Linked DNA regions of Caenorhabditis elegans. The protein of the gene in region 1 interacts with the protein of each later gene in a pairwise test. Each region holds a gene or a part of one and is shown on either strand. Other genes may lie near its edges.

The links. Proteins that work in one complex are often made in the same cells at the same time.
Region 2: the proteins of str-173 (region 1) and app-1 interact in a two-hybrid assay, tested with the Caenorhabditis elegans proteins (one large-scale study listed by BioGRID).

The regions. Positions count from the first base shown.
Region 1 is NC_003282.8:4,860,165-4,864,651, forward strand, and holds str-173 (Serpentine receptor class r-10), read left to right. Parts: upstream 1-1,608; 5' UTR 1,609-2,020; coding exon 2,021-2,218; intron 2,219-2,491; coding exon 2,492-2,579; intron 2,580-2,625; coding exon 2,626-2,704; intron 2,705-2,882; exon of another isoform or gene 2,883-2,906; intron 2,907-2,913; coding exon 2,914-3,048; intron 3,049-3,253; exon of another isoform or gene 3,254-3,274; intron 3,275-3,317; coding exon 3,318-3,591; intron 3,592-3,636; coding exon 3,637-3,814; intron 3,815-3,871; coding exon 3,872-3,939; 3' UTR 3,940-3,985; downstream 3,986-4,487. Other genes in the region: Y17G9A.4 (Peptidase_M15_4 domain-containing protein), read right to left, coding at 231-450, 498-707, 846-990, 1,038-1,150, 1,208-1,242.
Region 2 is NC_003279.8:4,964,153-4,968,696, forward strand, and holds app-1 (Xaa-Pro aminopeptidase app-1), read right to left. Parts: upstream 2,938-4,544; 5' UTR 2,919-2,937; coding exon 2,799-2,918; intron 2,754-2,798; coding exon 2,373-2,753; intron 2,326-2,372; coding exon 1,891-2,325; intron 1,844-1,890; coding exon 1,790-1,843; intron 1,742-1,789; coding exon 1,602-1,741; intron 1,552-1,601; coding exon 1,184-1,551; intron 1,138-1,183; coding exon 965-1,137; intron 922-964; coding exon 742-921; 3' UTR 515-741; downstream 1-514. Other genes in the region: Protein pid-4, read left to right, coding at 1-86; W03G9.5 (Protein kinase domain-containing protein), read right to left, coding at 3,855-4,088, 4,133-4,231. UniProt on the Caenorhabditis elegans protein: Catalyzes the removal of a penultimate prolyl residue from the N-termini of peptides, such as Arg-Pro-Pro. Has activity towards the flp-9 neuropeptide KPSFVRF-amide.

The DNA of each region.
Region 1 (4,487 bases):
CAAAATTTTACAAAGTTGATTGTAAGTATATAATACTTACCACCTAGACTCTTCTAATCGTCGATTCGGCTGCATTAGTTTCTTCTCTTAACTGGACAATTATTTGCCGCTAAACAAAATGGGCTTATCATATTAAGAAACAACAGATATTGAAATCAGATTACAGATTAAGTCACTTTACCATGAAAAAACGCAAAATTCTAAATAAATTCATTATTTCAAAAACGCGATTATTTAAAGCCAGAAATCAAAATAAACTGTTTGCCAGTTTGTTTCTTCGAGTCCGGATAGACTTCATCAATTGAATCCCACCATCCAGGTCCCCAGACTCTTCCAAAACTGTTGGCCGAGCGAATCGATACGTCCAGATCTTTTCCCATTAGTCCAACAAAACGAGAATTTTCGAGGTTTTCAGAGAGTTTTACAGGAACATCATTGTAATCTGGCTGCCTGAAAATTAACATTTTCTTAAATTTATCAAAACTTAAACTCCCGACTTGTTGAGTCCTTCCGCGCAAATAATTTTAACTTCATTTTCGATATTATCCTTGGCATTTTCTGTAGTTGATCTCCAATAATGACTACGGTAAATGACAATATTACTCTTTCCAGGATTATACGAAGTTATATATTGTTCAGCATTTCCATAAAAGGAATTACTTTCCGTTTCTCCCTTATTATCATAAACCATTATATAGAAGACATCGCTGAAAATGGGAAAATGAGAATAAGGCCAACGTTCAATTATTTTCCTCGACGCCTTCTTCCTAACGGTAGAGTAGGCGTAGGTAACATTCAGGCAAGCCTTGCCAGAAGTCTTTTTTAGTGTTTTTCAAACAACTCACGAAGTATTAAACCGCATGAGCTCCGTTTTAATTAAAACTGCCCTGTCATCATTTGTCACATGCATATCATTTTCAATCACATAATCCACAATTTTCTTCACATTTTGGGGCCAAATGTAGTCCATTTTCAGAGGTATTCCCGAAGCTGAAATAACTTTCAATACGATTTTCAAGAAAATGTTCAAACTTTACTTTCAACATTTTCTGTTTCAATCCATTTCTGAATAAAATATGTAAGCCCAAATGCGATTAATCCACACAGAAACAAACTTATTAGAATTAGAAGCAAACACTGTTTGGGAGAACTGAAATCCGATATATTTAGAATTTGGTACATACTCAAATATTGAAAAAAACCTTACTTTTCACAATCTGTAGTACGTCGGTTTTGAGACATCTTCACAGGACAATGTTTAATGTTTTTAAAACAACTTATATAGGTAGATGAAAGATAAGGAGGAACGTGTGACAAAGATAATCTTCAATTTCACACAACTTTTCAAACGGAAATTCCTTAAGAAATGAGGAATATCATCGAGAAGAGTGAACATAAGACAACTGTTCCACTGATAAAAATTTTTTAAACCGGTTTCAATGTTCGTTTCGTATCTGAAATACTTTCAACAACTTGATCTTTTAGTTGTTACTTCCCTTTCATTGGAGACAACTTTCGTTGACTTTATTGACTTATGCATCTCAGACATGAACGCACACAAGACCCCCTTTTTCGGCCTGCTTAGTATATACTACTATACAGTGGTTAGTACTCCACGTTGTGGCCGTGGCGACGCTGGTTCGATTCCAGCAGCAGGCAACTCTTTTACTCCAGCTTCATCTGACAAAATTACCATAAATCAGAACGAAAGTTGTCAATGACTAAAAAAAACGTTGACGAAGCGCTAATGTTTCCAGGTGACTGATTTTTGAGAAAAGAAGTTTTTTTTCGAAATGAAAGAAGCTGTCGATATATTTACCTTTAGTATTATAAAATTCTTAGAACCTTAATTTAGTATTATCTTCAGCTAATTATACATAATTTGTTGAGAAAGTACATCCCACGCGTTCTCATAAATTAATACATTCTCAGTAACATTTTCTATTAATTTCCTATAACATTCTCCCGGAACTATAGTGTCTAGAAAGCCTATAATCAATAATACCAGTCTAAAGAAACAATGACGCCTGTAACTTTTGCAAATATCAAAACTGTGATTCAATTTATTTCCGTTTTTATTTCAATATTCATCAATGCTCTCTCCATCTACCTTATCGTCACAAAATCTCCAAAAATCATGGGAACATATCGGCACTTGATGATTTATTTCTGCGGTTGCTCCATGGTCTTTTCTGTACTGGATGTGATTGTTCAACCGGTAATATCAATATTTTTGTTATATACTTTTGCAAAGATTTCACAAAAAGAAATGGTTTTTTTACCAAAATAACATAAAGTACAAAAATAGCAAACAAGTACAAAAATAGCACAAGCGGACATTGTCTTTGTTTAGAATTTGAAACGGGAAATTTTTTATAAAAATTTTGTAAACTAATAAATAATACGATTCACTTTTCAGTTAAGAATAAAATATGAAATGAAATGAAATTAATAAAATATCAAATCACCATCAATTTACCAAAATTTTCAGAGCATTGAAACCTACAAAAGTGCGTTCCTAATGGTTGTTGATGTCAAAAACCGATCTTTAAATTCCTGGTCAGCAGTATTATTTATGAGTAGGCTGACCAAATTCATTAAAACTGTTTAAAAATTTTTTTTCAGATCTTCTTTGCGGTTGTATCGGAGTCACTGTATATGGAATTGCTATTCATTTTATTTATCGGTTATTAGCGCTAGAAAGGTAATTACTTTGGCATTACTAAACTGCAACTGCATTGAATAACTGATTGATTAACTGCTAGGTGCAAATTTAAAATACTCTTATTAATATAATTATTTATGCTAGATAAAATTAGACAAATTTAGTAAATAACTGTTTCATAATTGTCTTAAAATATCCACACAATTGATAAAAATATTATTTGCGGCAAAACTCTATGTCAATTTCAGAAAAGGCCGACTCCGGTATTTCAATTGCCAATACCTACCCATTTGGTTTAGCATTCCGATTCTCGCTGGAACAATATGGTACATTGTGACTGAAAATATTTTTGGAATGAACCCAGTAAATACGGAGTATATCAGGTAGGAAAATGTTTTGCCTATGCCTACCTATCCCAGATGGTCTCCACTTCGAGAAGAAAAACATTAATTTATGTGCACTTTCGCAGTAGGTACTCGTTAGGTAGGTAGGCACGGAACATACCTAGATCATTTTTAAGTGTTTCATTTAAGATAGTTTTGAATGTTTCATGTTGTACATAAATACAACAATATTTATGATATTTACTGAATACATATCTCAATAGGCTTATTTTCATTAAATATTGTTCTAAGTGAGGGCTATTTTTTAGAAACCCCGTTAAAGACTCTTTCAACATGAAAATGGAGGATTGCGTGTACGGTGCAGCTGTATTCTATCCAATTGATAAAAATGGTATCAAAACTATCAGTTGGATCTCATTTTTTGGATTAGGGTGTTACTTAACACTTCTAACAATTCCATTTATTTCAATCTTGGTTGCTGGAGCAAAAAGTTGGAATCATGTTCAAAAACTGCTCGAACATGGAGAATCCGAGTTTGCCAGGAATTTGCAGATGCAATTGTACAAGGCCTTAATAGCTCAGGTTAGACAAACTGAATGTTTATAAAGTTTTCCAAACTATTTCCAGACTCTTATCCCAGTGGTATTCTTCTTCACACCATTTGGTTGTGTATTTGTACTTCCTGCATTTGAAATTGAATGTCAATTTATGTCAGCTCCCATCACATTGGTTTTTGCAATTTATCCCGCAATCGATCCTTTACCCAATTTGTTTTTTGTGGACTACTACAGGAATCCTATATCAAGTTGGTTTTCAAAAATATTGAATTGTTATAATTTATAGAAATTAACTTAATCTTCAGATTTTCTCCGCAAAGTTTGGTGCAGAAAGCCTAAAGTCGAAGCCGCGACAATTAATTCTACATTGTGAATATTTTAAAAAGTACTGTTTTAATAAAATTTTGTTTTAAATATTCATCTAATAATTATTGATGATCCCTATGAACACGGCTGTGAGACTGATAGTGAAAATACAAAAACTTTGTGAAATTAGCAAATATACCTAGCAAACACTGACATGAAGACATGGAAAATGACATGGAGACAATGTAATAGTCTATTTCAGCAAAGTTTATTTAAGGTTTTGAAACAGTAAAGTTTTTCCACGAAGCTGTGTTTTCAAAGTGTTTTTCAATCCGCGTTTTTCGGTGATTTTTTGCTTGTGGCAGTGGGTTGAATACATCACTGATATTCAATTTTTTTATTCTAAAAATTCTGGTATTTATGTAGAGCTTAAGTTTCTCCTACCGCAAAGAAAAGAACCGCATAATTTGTTTGAATTTCCGTAATGTCAGTTAATTAATGCGAATAATTACTTACCTTTGTACTCAGTATAATAAAGTACCATAATAGTTGAGCTTTATTCAATCAATCTGCATATCAACTTTCAAAAATTTCACAAAAAATTTGGAACGCTTC
Region 2 (4,544 bases), on another chromosome or scaffold:
ATAAGAATAAGAAGCCATTCGTGGACAGATCTCCGCAAAAATTCAAATTTCCCGCGAGCGGCAGCTATATGAAGCCGGCCAACTAGTGCTTGATATTCAAGCTTTAATTATTTTTCATCTGTGTCATCAAACCGTATTCTAGTTTACTTGTTAAGACCCGTTGGTCCGTATTTTTGTTTCTTTTTTTTAAATATTTCAGTTTACGAATCAACAAATAAAAATTATTCATTTTCAAGAATTTGTAAATACAGGAAATCGAGGAGAAGTTAAAAGCGAGAATCTTGGATCTATGAGAATGCAGTTCACAACAGCTTCATCAGTTTCGCAACAGTTTTCAATTCAAATTCGTTATTAACCTTACATCCAATCCTGGCTCACTTGTAAGCACTTTGGCTTGAATCTCTGCACCGATGTCAAAATCCGACAGCAAAATGTCGTCAACCAAACATTCTAGCTTACAGTTGTTAAGACCTGCTAGCCGGCATTGTTATTTATGTTTCAATTTTCCAACTAACAAAAGAAAAAGATTCATTCTCAAGTATTAGTACAGGAAATCTACGGAAAAGCGAGAAAGAACGACAGGAGAAAAAAAGGGGAATACGGATGAATCATTCGGGGAGAATAAGTTTTACACCAGGATCCAGAAATTGTGATAAAAAATAGTTAATTGAGCACAAATTTGCTCAACAAGACGTTGACCGGTTAAAATAATATAAAACATGTTGTAATTGTTCCAGATATTTAGATTGGTTTACAGGCTTCTGCGAGCCATTTCAGCTCATCCGTTTTTCCGCGTTTCTGAAGATGTTCACCAACTTCCTTCAGAACCCGAGCGTGGTATTGATTGAGCCAATTGATTTCCTCTTCAATCAGAAGAGACTTGTCGACGATCGAAGTTTGAATAGGCACCAAAGTGAGAGACTGAAATTAATAAGTTTATAAAGTTCCTGGGATCTGGGTATACCTTGAATGTCAAGAAGTTCTGAGCTTTAGACATGACAACAGCTTCAACTGTTTCGTAACAGTTTTCAATTCGAATTCCGTACTTCTCCTTGGCATAGAATCCTGGCTCAATGGTAAGCACTTGGCTGGCATGAAGCTCTCCACCGGTTGGAACACTACGATGACCGATTCCGACTGAAAATAAATATTCAAACAGTTACATTTACTGTTTTCGTCTTACTCGGTCCTTCGTGTACGTTAAGGTAGTGTCCAACACCGTGTCCAGTACCATGTTCAAAATCGAGACCAAGCTTCCATAAAGCATCACGAGTCAGCGTGTCCAAACGAGAACCATAGATACCATCAGGGAACTTGGCCCGTGCCAAATTAATGTGTCCCTTCAATACAAGAGTATTGTGCAGAATGAACTCTTTCGGTGGGTTCGTGTACCACACAGTTCTCGTCACATCGGTTGTTCCATCTCCATAATGAGCTCCAGAATCGAGGAGGAACACCTGATTGGCTGCAGCCTTACGATTGCCACTTTCTCCGAGAGGCTTGTAATGGGGAAGTGCTGCGTGATCTCCGACAGCTGATATGGTATCAAAACTGAAAATAAATATAAATTAAATGTAGTTTTAAATATTTAACAAACGAACCTCAAAGTAACATATTTGTCTTGAAGACTTCTCAAATGGTCTATCTTATCAGCTAACTCGATTTCAGTGTATCTTTTTCCAGAGAGCAACTCCTTTTCGAGCCAGCAAAGGAACTCAACAAGAGCAGCACTATCACGAAGCTAGAAAGAATTAAATTATATCCTAAACGATGCTGTAGCCATTCTTACATGACTGTTTCTCATTCCTTGCATTTCATGATCGTTTTTGGTGGCCTTGGCGGTCTGAAAAAGATTAAATTTCAAAAATTTCAAGAAATTCATGGAATTACCTGAACCAGGGAAGTGTCAACCATCGAGTTCTCTTCGCCAATAATGCTTCCAATAGCGTAATTAGTTTCTGGTGTGAGATAAACCATGTGAGGCTCTTTGCTCGCTTCTTTTGCCTTGAGCCAATTGGATATCCATGAATAGACTTCTCCGTATGGATGAATCGATACATTCGATTTGTGGAAATGGGCTCGAGATTTCTCATCGAGTTTCTCATTGTCGATAAATACGTGAATCTCGCGCATTGCCACGAAGAGATATGAATATGCAAGAGGATTGTACGGGATATCACTTCCTCTAATGTTCAGAAGCCACATAACATCATCAAGAAGAGTAAATACAGCTGCGTCGCACTTTTTTTGTTTCAGCTTCTCCCGAAGATTCTCGACTTTTTTTGAAGTTGTAAGACCAGTGTCTTCAACATCGAGCACGACTACCTGAAAAGTGGAACATTAAATCCCGCAGTATAGATCTATCAACTTACTGGCTCACCAGCGAGTCTTGGCCGATCAGTCCAGAACTCGTCGACTAGATTTCCAGGAATCGAGACTGGTTGAAGACCTGCTGCCTTCAGACGTTTAAATGTCTTGGAACCAGCGTCGAACGTCGACAGAGTTGGATCAAATCCAATAACGGATCCACGCTCGAGCTCTCTCACAAGCCAATCAACGACAGTAATCGAATCGGGCTGTCCTTGTTTCATCAATTTCCAGCTGTTGGAATCAAGCTGATTCCCGGCTTGAGTGAAATATCGGCCATCAGTCCAAAGGAGAGCTTCTCTATCGGTAACAACAACGTAGGCATTGGAACCACTGAAACCAGACAGGAATTTCACTCGAAAATCGTAATCGGCTAGATATTCGCTCTGAAAATTAACATTTAGAAGATTATTTGAAGCCTAAAAACCAACATGATGAGCGTCAGTGCTTGGGAGAAGATACGCGACCATCGGCTTGCTGGAAGTGAGCGCGAGAACCCGTTCCGAATGGAACAAGGATCTCAATTTTGCGAGTTTTTCCAATGCTGTCATCACTCCAATTCTGCCCGATCTGAAAAAAAAAGAAAATTAAAGCTAAACTTGTAAAGAGAAATTTAAAAACCAAGCGTCTAATCGTCTGCACATTTTTCTCGAATTTTAGAGCTGATAACGAATAAAACCAACGACGAAATTGTCGATCAATCGTTTTAATACGCAATCACAAATGGTTTTATACATACAGAAATCAAAAATCATCTCTGAATTCTATTGAATGAAAACAACAGAGGATGTGGAAATTTTTTGAGAAGAAAACTGAAAAATAACTATTTTTGAAGTCTAAAAATGTTTTAAAATGAAAAATTAACTGCCGAATCGAGAACGAACGCTGTTCCAAAAAATGAGAAGAGTATCTACGGACTCGAGATCTCTAGACTCAAGAAGTGGAAACTTGGAAAACCGCAAAGGAAACGTTTTGAAATATCATTAAAAGACGAAAATTTCAATGAAAATGTTAATTTCACTGTGGATCATTTAAAATATTAACTTTATTCGTGTCCTGATACGAATTATCCACGCTTTTTTTCAGAAATTTTTATGACACGAGGTCTCACAGGCCTCTAATCGGTGGTGACTCGAAAGCTGAGAAGGCGCGCTCTATTGATGGGTCAAAAAAGGAGGAGATTTGAAAATGAGTTTCGCTCGAAATTCAGGTCTAGAATTTTAGAAAATAACCTTTAAAAAATACTCATAATAAATTTGTTGAACAAACTGTGAACAGCAAAACCCAAACTCGCATCGCGGTTTTTTATTTCCTCTCCAAAAATTTACGCGTGCGAAAATTAATGAATAATGAAAATTTCAGTCTGGAAATTCATTCTTTCGTATTCAAAAAAATTAAGAAAAAGAAAAATTGTTTTTTTTCAAAATCGTAATTTTTAGCACGATTACATCTGTCTGTGTGTCTACAAAATTAAAAAATAAAATTTATCAATGAAGCTCAAATGATTTCGGCGGCAAAATCTTCTTTCCAATACTTCTAGTGGATTTCGTGGAAACTGCAGACGACAGTTGTGTGCTCTCGAGTTTTCTTTTTTGAACCGTATTATCCTCCGGAACAATAAAATCTTCTTTGGCTCTTCGTGCCGCCCGTGCATTCTTCAGCAACTTCTCTTTATTCGCTTCTTCCTCTTTCTTCTTCCAGTTCTTTTCAATCTGTTCAATCTGAAAATTGGAAAATTTAATACGTCGAATAACGTATTCTATACCTTATGCGCCGATGGTGTTCTCGCAATATATCTCCTTTTCACTTTCTTACTGGTTTCAGATCGAGCAGATGGTGTCGCCGGCTTGGCTTCTTGTTTTCCCTGAATGTTTCAAATATATCTCTTGTCTACGGCACCTACCTACATGCCTATCTACCTGCCGCATGCCTGCCTAATAACGATTTATTATTAATATTGAGCTCCCCCATGCCTGCCTACGCGTTTGCATTAGAACTACACGCAACACACACTTACCTGATTCTCAGATCCCGTATGCCTATTCTGACCTCATACCTACCTGCCTAGGCGCACCTCAAAACTGCATTTCCTATGCCTGGCTTCATACATGCCTTCATTATTCATTCCCTGGTTCTAACTTAATGCCTGCCTGTCTACTTTCTGCTTGCCTAACTTT